Schizosaccharomyces pombe: one gene and its partners. The protein of the gene in region 3 binds, or shares a complex with, the protein of the main gene of each other region. Each region holds a gene or a part of one and is shown on either strand. Other genes may lie near its edges.

What was found. The genes of interacting proteins can lie anywhere in the genome.
Region 1: rsm25 (region 3) and rsm24 share a complex: the UniProt entries of both Schizosaccharomyces pombe proteins name them as parts of the mitochondrial small ribosomal subunit.
Region 2: rsm25 (region 3) and mrps12 share a complex: the UniProt entries of both Schizosaccharomyces pombe proteins name them as parts of the mitochondrial small ribosomal subunit.

What each region holds. Positions count from the first base shown.
Region 1 is NC_003424.3:561,935-565,989, reverse strand, and holds rsm24 (mitochondrial 37S ribosomal protein mS35), read right to left. Parts: upstream 2,065-4,055; 5' UTR 1,821-2,064; coding exon 1,526-1,820; intron 1,517-1,525; exon of another isoform or gene 1,438-1,516; coding exon 956-1,437; 3' UTR 917-955; downstream 1-916. Other genes in the region: phospholipase D Pld1, read left to right, coding at 1-822; exosome subunit Rrp4, read left to right, coding at 4,023-4,055. UniProt on the Schizosaccharomyces pombe protein: Component of the mitochondrial ribosome (mitoribosome), a dedicated translation machinery responsible for the synthesis of mitochondrial genome-encoded proteins, including at least some of the essential transmembrane subunits of the mitochondrial respiratory chain.
Region 2 is NC_003424.3:2,667,165-2,670,541, reverse strand, and holds mrps12 (mitochondrial 37S ribosomal protein uS12m), read left to right. Parts: upstream 1-1,609; 5' UTR 1,610-1,719; coding exon 1,720-2,208; 3' UTR 2,209-2,461; downstream 2,462-3,377. Other genes in the region: Brix domain-containing protein Rpf1, read left to right, coding at 1-13; mrpl28 (mitochondrial 54S ribosomal protein mL40), read right to left, coding at 373-729; hxk2 (hexokinase 2), read right to left, coding at 3,359-3,377. UniProt on the Schizosaccharomyces pombe protein: Component of the mitochondrial ribosome (mitoribosome), a dedicated translation machinery responsible for the synthesis of mitochondrial genome-encoded proteins, including at least some of the essential transmembrane subunits of the mitochondrial respiratory chain.
Region 3 is NC_003423.3:4,290,396-4,294,607, reverse strand, and holds rsm25 (mitochondrial 37S ribosomal protein mS23), read left to right. Parts: upstream 1-2,645; 5' UTR 2,646-2,919; coding exon 2,920-3,582; 3' UTR 3,583-3,712; downstream 3,713-4,212. Other genes in the region: PPR repeat-containing protein Ppr7, read right to left, coding at 1-1,011; nucleoporin Rae1, read right to left, coding at 4,136-4,212. UniProt on the Schizosaccharomyces pombe protein: Component of the mitochondrial ribosome (mitoribosome), a dedicated translation machinery responsible for the synthesis of mitochondrial genome-encoded proteins, including at least some of the essential transmembrane subunits of the mitochondrial respiratory chain.

The DNA of each region.
Region 1 (4,055 bases), on a different chromosome or scaffold from region 3:
TCTTCGATTGAATTCAATATTAAAACTCAAAAGGACAAGGTCGAGTTTGAAAAGAACTACGAGAAGTCTAAAAAAGGGCCTGATGTTATAGCCAACGCCCTAGTAGGCGGCATCCCCTTATCACTGAAAACAAAGGAGGACTCATTATATGAACTTTCCAAGTTCTCTCAATGTGGGGAGGATCAACGTCCAATGGTACTTAAAGACCCTGATCATCTAGTGCCTGAACCCAGTCGTCCACACTGTGGAAATGGACTTGTGTTTTATGATGATATACCATTGCTTGAGGTGAATCCTATTAGTGGAGAAACAATTCCTAAATTTGACGCTTCAAGCTTTGAGGACCCCGTCTGCGATGAATTTTTTGAAGACATATGGTCTAAAGTGGCTTCAAACAATACTACTATTTATCGGCACATATTTCGATGTGTACCGGATGACGAGATGCTAACGTGGGAATCATATAATGAGTGGAAAAAATATGGAAAACGCTTTAAAGAAGAGCAAGCCCGCTGGCGTCAGGAGGAGTTGTCAAATCTACACGAAACTCATGAAAAGTCAGAGAATGATCCAAAAAATCCAAAGGCTGGTTCCCAAGGTAGTGGTAACACGAGTGCAAGTGAAGATTCGAAGACAGAGAAACCAAAAACCCGTACTAATAATGGTTTACAAGTTCCTGACAAACGTGTAGTTTACGACTTACTACGTGGCATTCGGGGACAGTTGGTAGAACTTCCATTAAAATGGATGTCTACCGAATCAAACGCAAGAAATTGGCTCAGTAGTATTGACAAAATCCCTCCGTTAGAAATTTATGATTAGAGAAACAGTACCTTTTATACTACAGTTTTATTTCATCTTAATATAGTAATGAGAAGGATTAATTCCTTCAATATTAGCTTACATTATAGACTCGTTAATTTTAATAGTAACTTAAACAAACTTTCCTTTCATATTATTCATCTGTAGTTGCTATCGATTCTCGTTCAAGTACTGTATTATGTGATTGCTTGCCAATCGTTGTTTTCTTTTTAGAAGTGAGTGTAGTTGCGTCTGCGAGCCATTCCTGTGGCATCCGTTTATCACACTTCTTGTATTTCCAATGGCCAGTATTCAATGGGACATGTGAAAATTTTTCAGCATTTCTCTTCGATTCTTCAATGAGCGAAGTTAATATCTTTATAAGATGATATTTATTTTGTAGTGCAGAAGAATACTTGTCGGAAGATATTCTGACTAAATCCTCCTCCGGATTATATCTTGGTCCAACCAATAATCGTAATACATGTCGTTGTTTCTCCTCTAGCAAAGGAATATTCGTAACTTTAAATGTAACAACGACCTTCGGATTCATTTTCTCAAACGAAGACATTTGGACATCAGATTCAAACCTAAAGATCTGGCTATCAGCAGGCTTTTTAAAAGACTGTGTGTAAGCTATAATTGTCAGAGAAAATGGAACATTAAGCATATTAAAGTGATTGTGAAATAGAATTCCTAAGGTAAAACTACCCAGTAAACTTACGCGTAAGTCCAGGAAGCTCATAAGCAGCTTTCCTATACAATTCACGTATGACCTCGTGCTCTTGTATTTTCTGCCATGATAGATTATTGGAATGGACGTTATCATCAATTGTTTTCAATTCCTTCTCGTCATGAGGCTCGATTCCAAAAGGCGCTGACACATAAGCACTTCGCTTAAATCTTGTAAAATAGAAAACAGAGAAAGCTCTACTAGTAGCACAAAAGCTTGATTTGGAAAGTTGCCCGAGGAATATGGCATCTGCTTTCAATAAAGATAAAAGGGGATTAAAAGCCATTTTATAACCACCCAAAACACTAAATATATGTAATATTTGTATTATAAAAAAAAATAAACCACATTTAACGAATGCGCAGTAGTGTATGATACCGGATTTTATATTTTCTTTGAAACGAAAAGAGTGGCCGTTATAAATGGAAATCTGAATCTAACAAAAACTTTTTTTCTAAAATTTAACAATCCAAATGCTCAAAACAATTAAATAAGCTACAAAAAGGTACTTGAAGGGGATAGTGAAGAATGTATAAACATTGTTGTCCTTGACTTGACTTCGTTGTATATAATTATAACACACTAAATCTTAGTAGTTAGAACCAGTAAAAACCACATAATAGACTGGAATGAAGGTTAGTAACGTAAAATAGCATCGATTCTACTCAATTGCATTTATAACATCTATTGAATAAAAACACCTAATAATACTTTCAAGCTTTTTTTTTTCTTAGGAATTTAATAGCACTTGCTTCCCATCCTTTTTTGGCATTCGCTGTTTAAAAAGTGTGTTAGTTATCCTTATATTTTGATTTTCGTAAGCAAGACTACACTACGTTACGCTGCGTATCACTATATGTCATCTGTTAGGATAGATTTAAGATTCGTTTACTAATAATTGCTGATAACTATTCTTTTGAGTACTTGTTTGTGTTTGATCATGTTTACTCCAAAAGATTATAAACAGAGTACATCTGAACAGAAACAGGTTCGTTTATATGTTAATTAATGGCAGGTAACAACGTAACCCATGTATAAATACTTACAACAAATTGCTACCCACATCACACCTATATATAATATGATATTACCGATCACAATGAAAACTCACAGAAGTCAAACAAGATACTACAATGCGCAGCTAGATAATATTGCACTTTCATTACTAGCGCTATTTAGTAAATAATTAAAAGAAGTTCGATTCAATTGTAAGTTTCATGAGAAAACAGGAAACTCCATTTAAGAATGATTTAAATATAAGAAAAAGACGCAATGTTTTTAAGAAAATGGGGTAAACAGAGTGATGGCAAGTCATCTGCTCAGCGTCTAGTCATTATTATTCCCTGTATGTGTTAATTCAAGCCTATCAAAGTAAAATAAAAAATTTTTTACGAAATAATCTTTTATTGAACTTGATTTAAAAAATCTGTATTTTTTATTTAACTATATTATTATGAACGTGAAATAGTGCTTAATTGGGTTCTTTAACCGTGATGTTTACAATGTTTGTATTGTATTACTTTTAAGTTAAGTAAAAACTAAATACCTTGACCCACATAACTTGTTCTTTGCAAAAATGTTAAGGAGCTGAGTATTTTAGAGTACTCAACACGAATGGAAGTCAATGCATATAACAATCTGTAGACAGTAATATTAGACTGTTAATGTTTACATGAGTCATTTGTAAAAAAAAAAAAAAAAAAAAAAAAATTATAAAATAATTGAATAAATAACCTATTACAGAAATCTTCAGACAACGATATTTTATTAATTTATTCCATTGCAATATTGCTTTAATACAATTTGGCTTGACATTGTGATGGAATTGACATGGATAATTTAAAATAATTAATTAAAAATTTTGTTGAAATTAATTGACTATTAACAATTCATGAAGTATCGTAAATCTGCCCTGATAAAATAAAATTTAAAAAAGTGTTGAAAGTGTTAATGGCTTTATAATTTGTAAACTTAGCCGTTTATTAAGTTTGAATATTGATAATTATTGAAGAATAAAGCATTATTTCCATTTTTTCTTCGTTGATTCATAGCTTTCATCAGACCTCTTCTGACCAAGGTTGACTAATGTATACAATTTGATTTTAATGACAATTCTTTCTTCTTATTAATAGTTTTTGCATAATTTTTCCCCAGCTTCTTATTTAATCCATCGAATATTTCAAATTTACTAACCCATCATCATTTTACCTTTAGATATTTTACGAGGAGCAACGCGTTACTTTAGCGGTTTAAAATTCTTTAGCTTTATGAATCAGTGTAAATTTCACTTTTGCATAAACACTAGTGTAAAAGCATTACAGGAGACCAGATTTGGTTTAAATTTAGTGGCTATAGCTAATTATCCAACATAACCCGACTAATCTTGATTTGTGGAAAGGGTAGTTATTAGTTTTGTAGTTTCTAAGAATTCTAAGTCGTGGTTTGTCCCAGTATCTTCTTTTGTCGAATTCAAACGAAATACTTAAAAATGGTTACAATTTTAAAACCTGAAGAATTCTAT
Region 2 (3,377 bases), on a different chromosome or scaffold from region 3:
ATTCTGGCTTTAAAGACATTTTGTCTCATCTGCGACACGTTGTAAAAAGAAAACAGTGTTTGGGTCATATTTTATTGTTTTCGAGGTAGGGTTTGGGTTTGGTAACAATTCTAAATTTTTGGTTAAAAAAGAAAGCATGGCCTTTCATTTTGTATCATTCGTTTACGGTGAAATTGGGAATGAATAATATGATACATGTAGACTAGAAACTAGGAGACATAATTCTTTAATTCAATTATTGGTTTATTTAAAAATCCTAATTAGATTATACTTGCTCGTAATTAGTGATACATTTTTTTATATACTTGAACTTGTCTATAACACTTTCGAGCACTACCGAAGATATTAATTATACTCATAAAAGGCGCTCGCCTATTTAGAAAGCCGTGGTGGTGTGTCCGTAGGAGTCCTCGTTTCTACGGGGAACCTCCTGTTAATTGAATCGCTCATTGCGGCTTTATATAATGTTTCACTCGTATGCTTCAGTTCCTCGCAAGCAATTTTCATTGCAGAGAATTGGTTTTTTAGAAGATTCTCTCTTTGTTTTTCTTGTCGATATTCGTGTATACGCCAAGCGCGATTAATAACTTCGTGTTTTTCCCACATGTCTGGATTCATTTTCAAAGACCTGACTTTTTTATTTCCGTAAAGAGCTTTTCTAACCAAATCGATTGACTCACTATGATTAGAAGGACCAGATTGGTGCTTTCCCTTTGAGGCCTTAGCCATTAATTGTAACGTAGAACGCATCTGCCAAAAAACTTTTCAACACAAACTAAAGTACTCCTTGAATTTTTTCACGTTGATAGAAAAAAATTTAATTTTCAAAAGTATTAACATAAAACCTTCCTTTAAAAGCTAAAAAACCTGAGTAGAGAAAAATGCGGTAGTAGTAAACGTGTTCAGTGGTATGAAGCTAATTAAGAGAGTAAGTCGTGATACACTAGGAAAAGCCACCAGTACGATATTTCAAAAAAAGAAGTGTTTCATCAAATCCCCTTCAATTTCACACACTGATAAAAAAAATATAGATTATAATTCGGAGTTCATTTAATTGTTTCTGAATTTTCAGTAGCTAAGCCAAACAAAGCATATGCATTTATGGAGATATGTAACCAAACGAAGACATTTAACAAGTAGAAAATATTAAGTTTTAAGTCAAAGCTTTATATGGAGTAGGCCTGATGCTCAATTTTTCTGCTAAGTTTCATGTAAGTAGTCAAACACATTGATAAATCCATATCAGTGTTTAAAGTTTTAATGAATGGATAAGTTATTGTAATAAATACTATCATCAACTGAAAATGGCATGGCAAAACGAAGCTTAAACCTCAATACAATCTACTTCCAGTACGTTTTTCAGTAGAAGTCATGAATTAAGTTGATTTTTTCAGCTTAACACTGTACTGTAAATTTGTCGATTAGCATACCTACATTCTGCATCTGTTTTAGACTAGTCCATTAAAGTTCAATTCCTAGAGGAAAAAATATTTAATACGCTAGTTATACCCAAAAATGTTTGTCAAAATATAAAAGAATAAATTTTTGTATCCCATCGAATAATATGAATGCTGCGAGATATTCTATTCCAAGGCAATATACATACACTAACACCAAACCAGCGACGTTCGGGTACAAACTTCGGAATTCCTTGCTCAAGCATCTATTATAGTGATTTTTGAGATTTTATACAGCTCAAATATTAAATTTCCCCAAATAATGATCCGTTTTGCTCAATATGCTCGATATCCGGTAATTTCAAGGTTGATGAAGCCAACAGTTATTTCACCATTTCAGGCTCAAGCGTTTTCTAGCTCTTCAGTTATGTTAAAGACATTAAATCAAACGATAAGAAATAAAGAGAAACGTCCTGAAAAAACAAATAAGCAATCTGTTGCTTTAGAGGGAAGTCCGTTTCGACGGGGTGTGTGCACGAGGGTCTTTACAGTAAAACCCAAAAAACCTAATTCGGCAGTAAGAAAGGTTGCCCGTGTACGCCTTTCAACCGGCCGTTCTGTTACTGCTTACATTCCAGGTATCGGTCATAATGCACAGGAGCATGCTGTGGTATTGTTAAGAGGCGGCAGAGCACAGGATTGTCCAGGAGTCCAATATCATGTTGTTCGGGGTGTCTATGACATTGCTGGTGTAGCGGGACGTGTCACATCCCGAAGCAAGTATGGAGTAAAAAAACCGAAAGCAGCCTAAACTTCATGACCTCAAAGACTTTCTTTTTCGAAAACCATGATATTCAGAAACGTTATCTTTATAATTATTCCACCTCCTCTTTTGATATCGATTCACAAGGACCTTATTAAAATGACTGAAACAAAAATTTAAATGAGAAAAAAGTTGAGTCAACCCATTTGTCATTTCTCGCAACCTTGCTTCTTGTTGCAACTATACATATTCAATAATCATTTACTCTTGCATGTTTAATAAGCAATTTTTTAGTTGAACTACATCCCCTTTAAACATACAATCATCAAAAAAAGGTAAAAAAGATTGTGTAATTAGGCAATTTCCAGTTATCTAAAAAATTAGCAAATAGATAATCCTTTTGGTTAAAATTTAACCAAATCTATCTAAACAATGATTTATTAAAATGAGGAGGATTTTCTTTTGAGAAATCCTTTTGGAAAGTTTTCTACTTTTTTGATATAAGCTCTTTAAATAAATTTTAAACTTGAGACGCTTTCAATTTTTAATTTGTTCAATTTGGTTTTACTACCGTGCTATTTAATTTTTAACTCTTGAATAAAGTATAAAAAACACCTTTTGGGTGTTGGAAAACGCTTTCCGGTTCTTATTTATATAGTATGCAGTATTGCTAGCACAACTTCACCGTTCAACGTTGCAGAAAAATTTACTAAACGATGAGAAAAATATTTTTTAACAAATCTTGGTTAATTGGATTTCTTGAAAGAAAAAGAAGATTTTATCTTGAACCCGAATAATTCATAAATTTGAGATAATAGGGTATGATGAATCTTATTTTTTACAAACTCAGATTAAAAAAAATCAAATTTCTTTTTGTTAGAATCAATTTACACACACATCTTTGAGATGTCCTGTAATGTTTGTAAATTCCGTACTCTTTTTTGGAATGTTAACAAAATCGTAACAAATTTAATAACAATACACAACCACAATTTTGTTTTAAAGAGACATATAACATCAATCACAACATGCTTTTTAATTCATCTGATATTCAATCTTCATACTATTAACTAATTCCAGGAAATAAATTCACTTTCAAAAAAAACATCTTAACTAAAAGCTGTTAAAAAGCAATTTCATATTTACATGCTCATTTCTACGTACAATTCAAAAAAAGCTAACAGACATCTAACATGATTTAGGCCAAGCCTTTCTTT
Region 3 (4,212 bases):
ACTATTGTATTCTTCCAGCTGAACAATATCGCGCATTAAAACCCAATTACGGTTTTTTGAGAGTAATTGTACAAATTTTATAAATGCATCTTTTGGCAATGGTCCCATGCCTGCACGAGACCACTGTTTATAAAGAAAATGAGCAGTATCAACTTGGTTATCACGATATGCTATGGAAAACAAAAACGCATAAACGTGTTGCAAAGGAAGCTGTTGATTTTGGAATCTCAAAGGAGCAAATATATGACCTAATGACTCTGAGAAGCAGAAGCGTTTTAAATTAGAGACTGTAGAGGAATCCATCCCAAGATGGGAATTATGGAAATGATACACCAAACACAATTCAACGTACAGACTTTTGAGATTTTGGGGTAACTTAATGTTACTCCACCAGTTTTCTCGAAAATTTTGATATAAGATTGCTTGTTCAGTCAAATTGCATGAACGGAATCGTTCTAAAAAACGGAGGCAGAGTTCAACAAGAAAATCTTCTTTTTTATTTTTTTTGGCGACATTAATCCAAATGGGAGTTATTTTTGCCAACGTTTCAACCTCCAGTTTTGAATACACAATGAGGCAAAGATCAGGATTTTTATCAAAACATTCGGCAAACCGTTTTTTCACGTAAATTAGGAATGGGTTTTTATGTTTGTCAAAAGGCACAGTAACCTTTTCAGTTTTATTATCAGCATAGACTTCACTGACTTTTCGGATAATGTACATTAAATCGTTTTCACTAAGAACAGCACCTGCGCTGGAAGGCAAACACTTGTGAAATAATTGATTTTCTGCAAAACTTGAGAGAAATGCTTCGTTTGAAGCAGATTTCGAGTATTTATGTAATTCATCAGAAGACGCTTGTCGAGGCCTGCACCCAGTTACCTTTTCATGATGAACGCTAAGCTGGTTTAGTGACCGCACAACAAGACGATTTGGGAAAGGGATTTTAAATTCCCTTAAACGTAAATGTTTTGTCCATGCAAAAAGTAGTGGAGATACACAATTTCGCATCTCTTAGCCTGGCAAGCAGACAAAAGTCGTCCCCAAAACGAGAGGCGTGGAAACGAAAAGACGCGTTATGAAGAAAAGAAACGATAATCAAATTAAAAGGATCACTATTAATGAGAGAAGGGGGTACTTGATAAAAAAAGAAAACGAGAACTCGATACGAGATGATGCATATACTTCCGTTCCCTTTCTATATGATGCGATAATTCAAACATTAAACTGTGCGAAAAGGCTCAATAATGCATCTAAACATTTCATCCAAGGTTTCCAAAAAACAGAAGGTGGTATAAATACAGCTAACTGAGCAAACCTTCCAACGTTGCGAAGTTGGGTTCTAAGCAAAACCTAAGATTGCTATTTCCTCATTAACAGGCAGCGTTAGTGAATTAACGGAAACCATCGCTATAGTTTATTTACGTTATTTTGTTATAATAGCTCGTTATTGTGTAAACATGGAAAGAACATTCATGAGTAAAAAAGAGGTCCCTTAATATAATTAAATGCAGAATATCCCTCTAAACTATTAAACTATCATTCATCGATCCTCTTAAGAATCGCTAATGAATAACGATCAATCGGCCATCATCATATATAGGAATGGCATTGAATGCAACCAGCATTTAGGCACGTTTGTTGACTCATTAGTATTTAATCAGCATTTACAATATCATCGAATACACTTTCGTCAAAGAACACAAGTGTAGTCTATTTACCTTACTTCTTCGTTATAAGCTACAGATTAACCTTACCTAGGTTATATAACACTCATCATCCAGAAGCGAATATCGTATTCTAGCATTGAGATTGCCAGCTAGCAGGTAAAATCAAATACGGAGTATAAATATGACTGCGTTATAAGTGAAGAAATGAAAATAACTGCTAAAAATGTATGAGCAGGCAAGAATTCAAGTAGTTGATGTCCATTCATAATAATACTGTACGATCAATGGCTTTAAATATTTGCAGCACTTCATTTTCACTTCAGAACATGCTAGGTGTAGCGGCATTTGCTGCGCTAATTTACTCAGTCAGTTTATGACAAAATCAAATTAGCAAATACGCATACAGCTTCACAAATACAGTACAGCCATTTAATTTGCTTTACGAAACATATAATTGATTTTGTCTAATTAATCTTAAAATTTTTTTGGAGTTTTTTGAACCATTGTTATTAATAATTCTAACGGCTGCCGGTAAATATTTAATGAAATCAGTGAAAATTAAAAGTATAAAAAAAAAAAAGTTTATTCCATAACAAAAAATTTTTAAGTATTAAAAAATTTTTAAGCAGTTTAACTTGCTTTCCTATGGCGTTAACGATTGATAAAAAAATATAAAAAAATAAAGGCAATAAACTCTATATACCTTTAGCAATTATAAAAAAAATATCTAAAAAATAATAGGGACTTTCAATCCATAAAATTAATTTAGATGAACAATCGCTTAGTTTAAATTCCGAATTTACAAACAAGCCATATCTTAGCAAAAAAAAGGCAATAGATGTGTTTAAATTTATAAATAACTATTTCATTAATAGTGTTCGTATCCTTGTGTGTTCTGAAATAAATATTCATAATATCTTACCATTAGGTTATACTCAGTAGCTACTAAGATGAGGCACACTAGTACCGTCAGCTAACACTAGCTTGGCCAGCCCAATTCCTCTTGGAAGCCATTTTCACCAAAAAAGTTGGTTTCTTGCGCTTATAATTCACTTTTTTAGCAGACTATCCATATAAGCGATTGTTTATTACCTCAAGTCATACTCTCCATTATTTATAGCGCCGTGGATGTGTTTTGCATAATTAACCCATCTCAATCATTATTCAATCCTTACTTCCATTTTCACGTTTCTATTACTGATTATTTTACTAATATACTATTTAATAACTTTTTCAGGAGGAAGATCCAATGCCGAAATTTAATGCAAATGGTTTGCTACGCAGCTTTGCAGCTGAAATGAAAAAGCCATGGACAGCAGAGTCTTTATGGTACGAAACGGTTGCTAAACATCCCCCAACCTTTCAATATGCTAGACGTATTGTACCATTGTACGATCCAAATAAGGTAAAATCCCGTGGTAAACGGTTACGAAAATCAATGTATCAGCCTCAGGAAATTCAATGGCCAGAAGATAAACTCCGTAAAAGGTTTTATCGAGATCATCCTTGGGAACTAGCAAGGCCTCAAATCATTGCAGAAAATGACGGTAATGATCAGCAATATTGTGATTGGAGTCACATGGATCAACCGCGCAAAGCATTATCTGGCGAGAGTGTAGTGCAAAGAACTTTATGGCTGATTGAAAACTCTAACATGCCTGTAGAAAATGCTTATGATCAAGCAAGAAAGGAATTTTATCACCTACGCGCTGAACAAGAAATTCAGCAACGCGTTGCCCATGATCAGGCTCAAGCATTGGGTGCTGTATTTACAAAATCTGATCTGGAGTTGGGCTATGAAATGGATCAAAATGCTTTAAATTCTTGGTTTGATAATGCTTCACAATACGCTGAGGCTAATCGTACAAAGTTCACAGACCCGAGTGTAGATATCTCTAAGACGACTCAGTAGTATTTAAATTCACAGCTGATATATCATATTGTCTCCTCAAAAATTGATTTTTGTTTTGTTTTTTTTTTTTTCAGAATTTTCTTAGTACTATCCCCTTTCAAAAATAAAACAGATATTTTTCATCTCTTTATGTCTTCAAATTAAAACAATCTATCAGAACACATTAAATTTCTACCATCTATTTGAATACATATATATATATTATAAATATTATTCAAAGCTATAGCAAGCTTTTCAGATGACACTGCCGTTTAGCCAGCTAGCGAACTTTCGCTCCAAACTTTTAAAAGTGCTTTAAAAAAAGTTCATCATTTATTGAGCAGCCAACATAGATAAGAAGATGATAGCGTCTATACCCATAACACTTTTTGTCAGGAAAGGAAAAATTTTTCTAATATTAAACGATTGCCAGTAATTGATTTTAGTCATGAATCACGAAATGCCACTTTTTTTCCCAAACAAAAAGTTAAGATACATATCAAAAAAACCAAACTCATGCCTCAACAGGATTGGTCACCATCTCACCTATGTAGACTCTAAAAATTACCATCATTTACCTTCCTTTCTTAGGTCGAGGTTTTATTTCGTCTTGCGGAACAGGGTGGAGCATGATTTTATTGGGCAATTGCG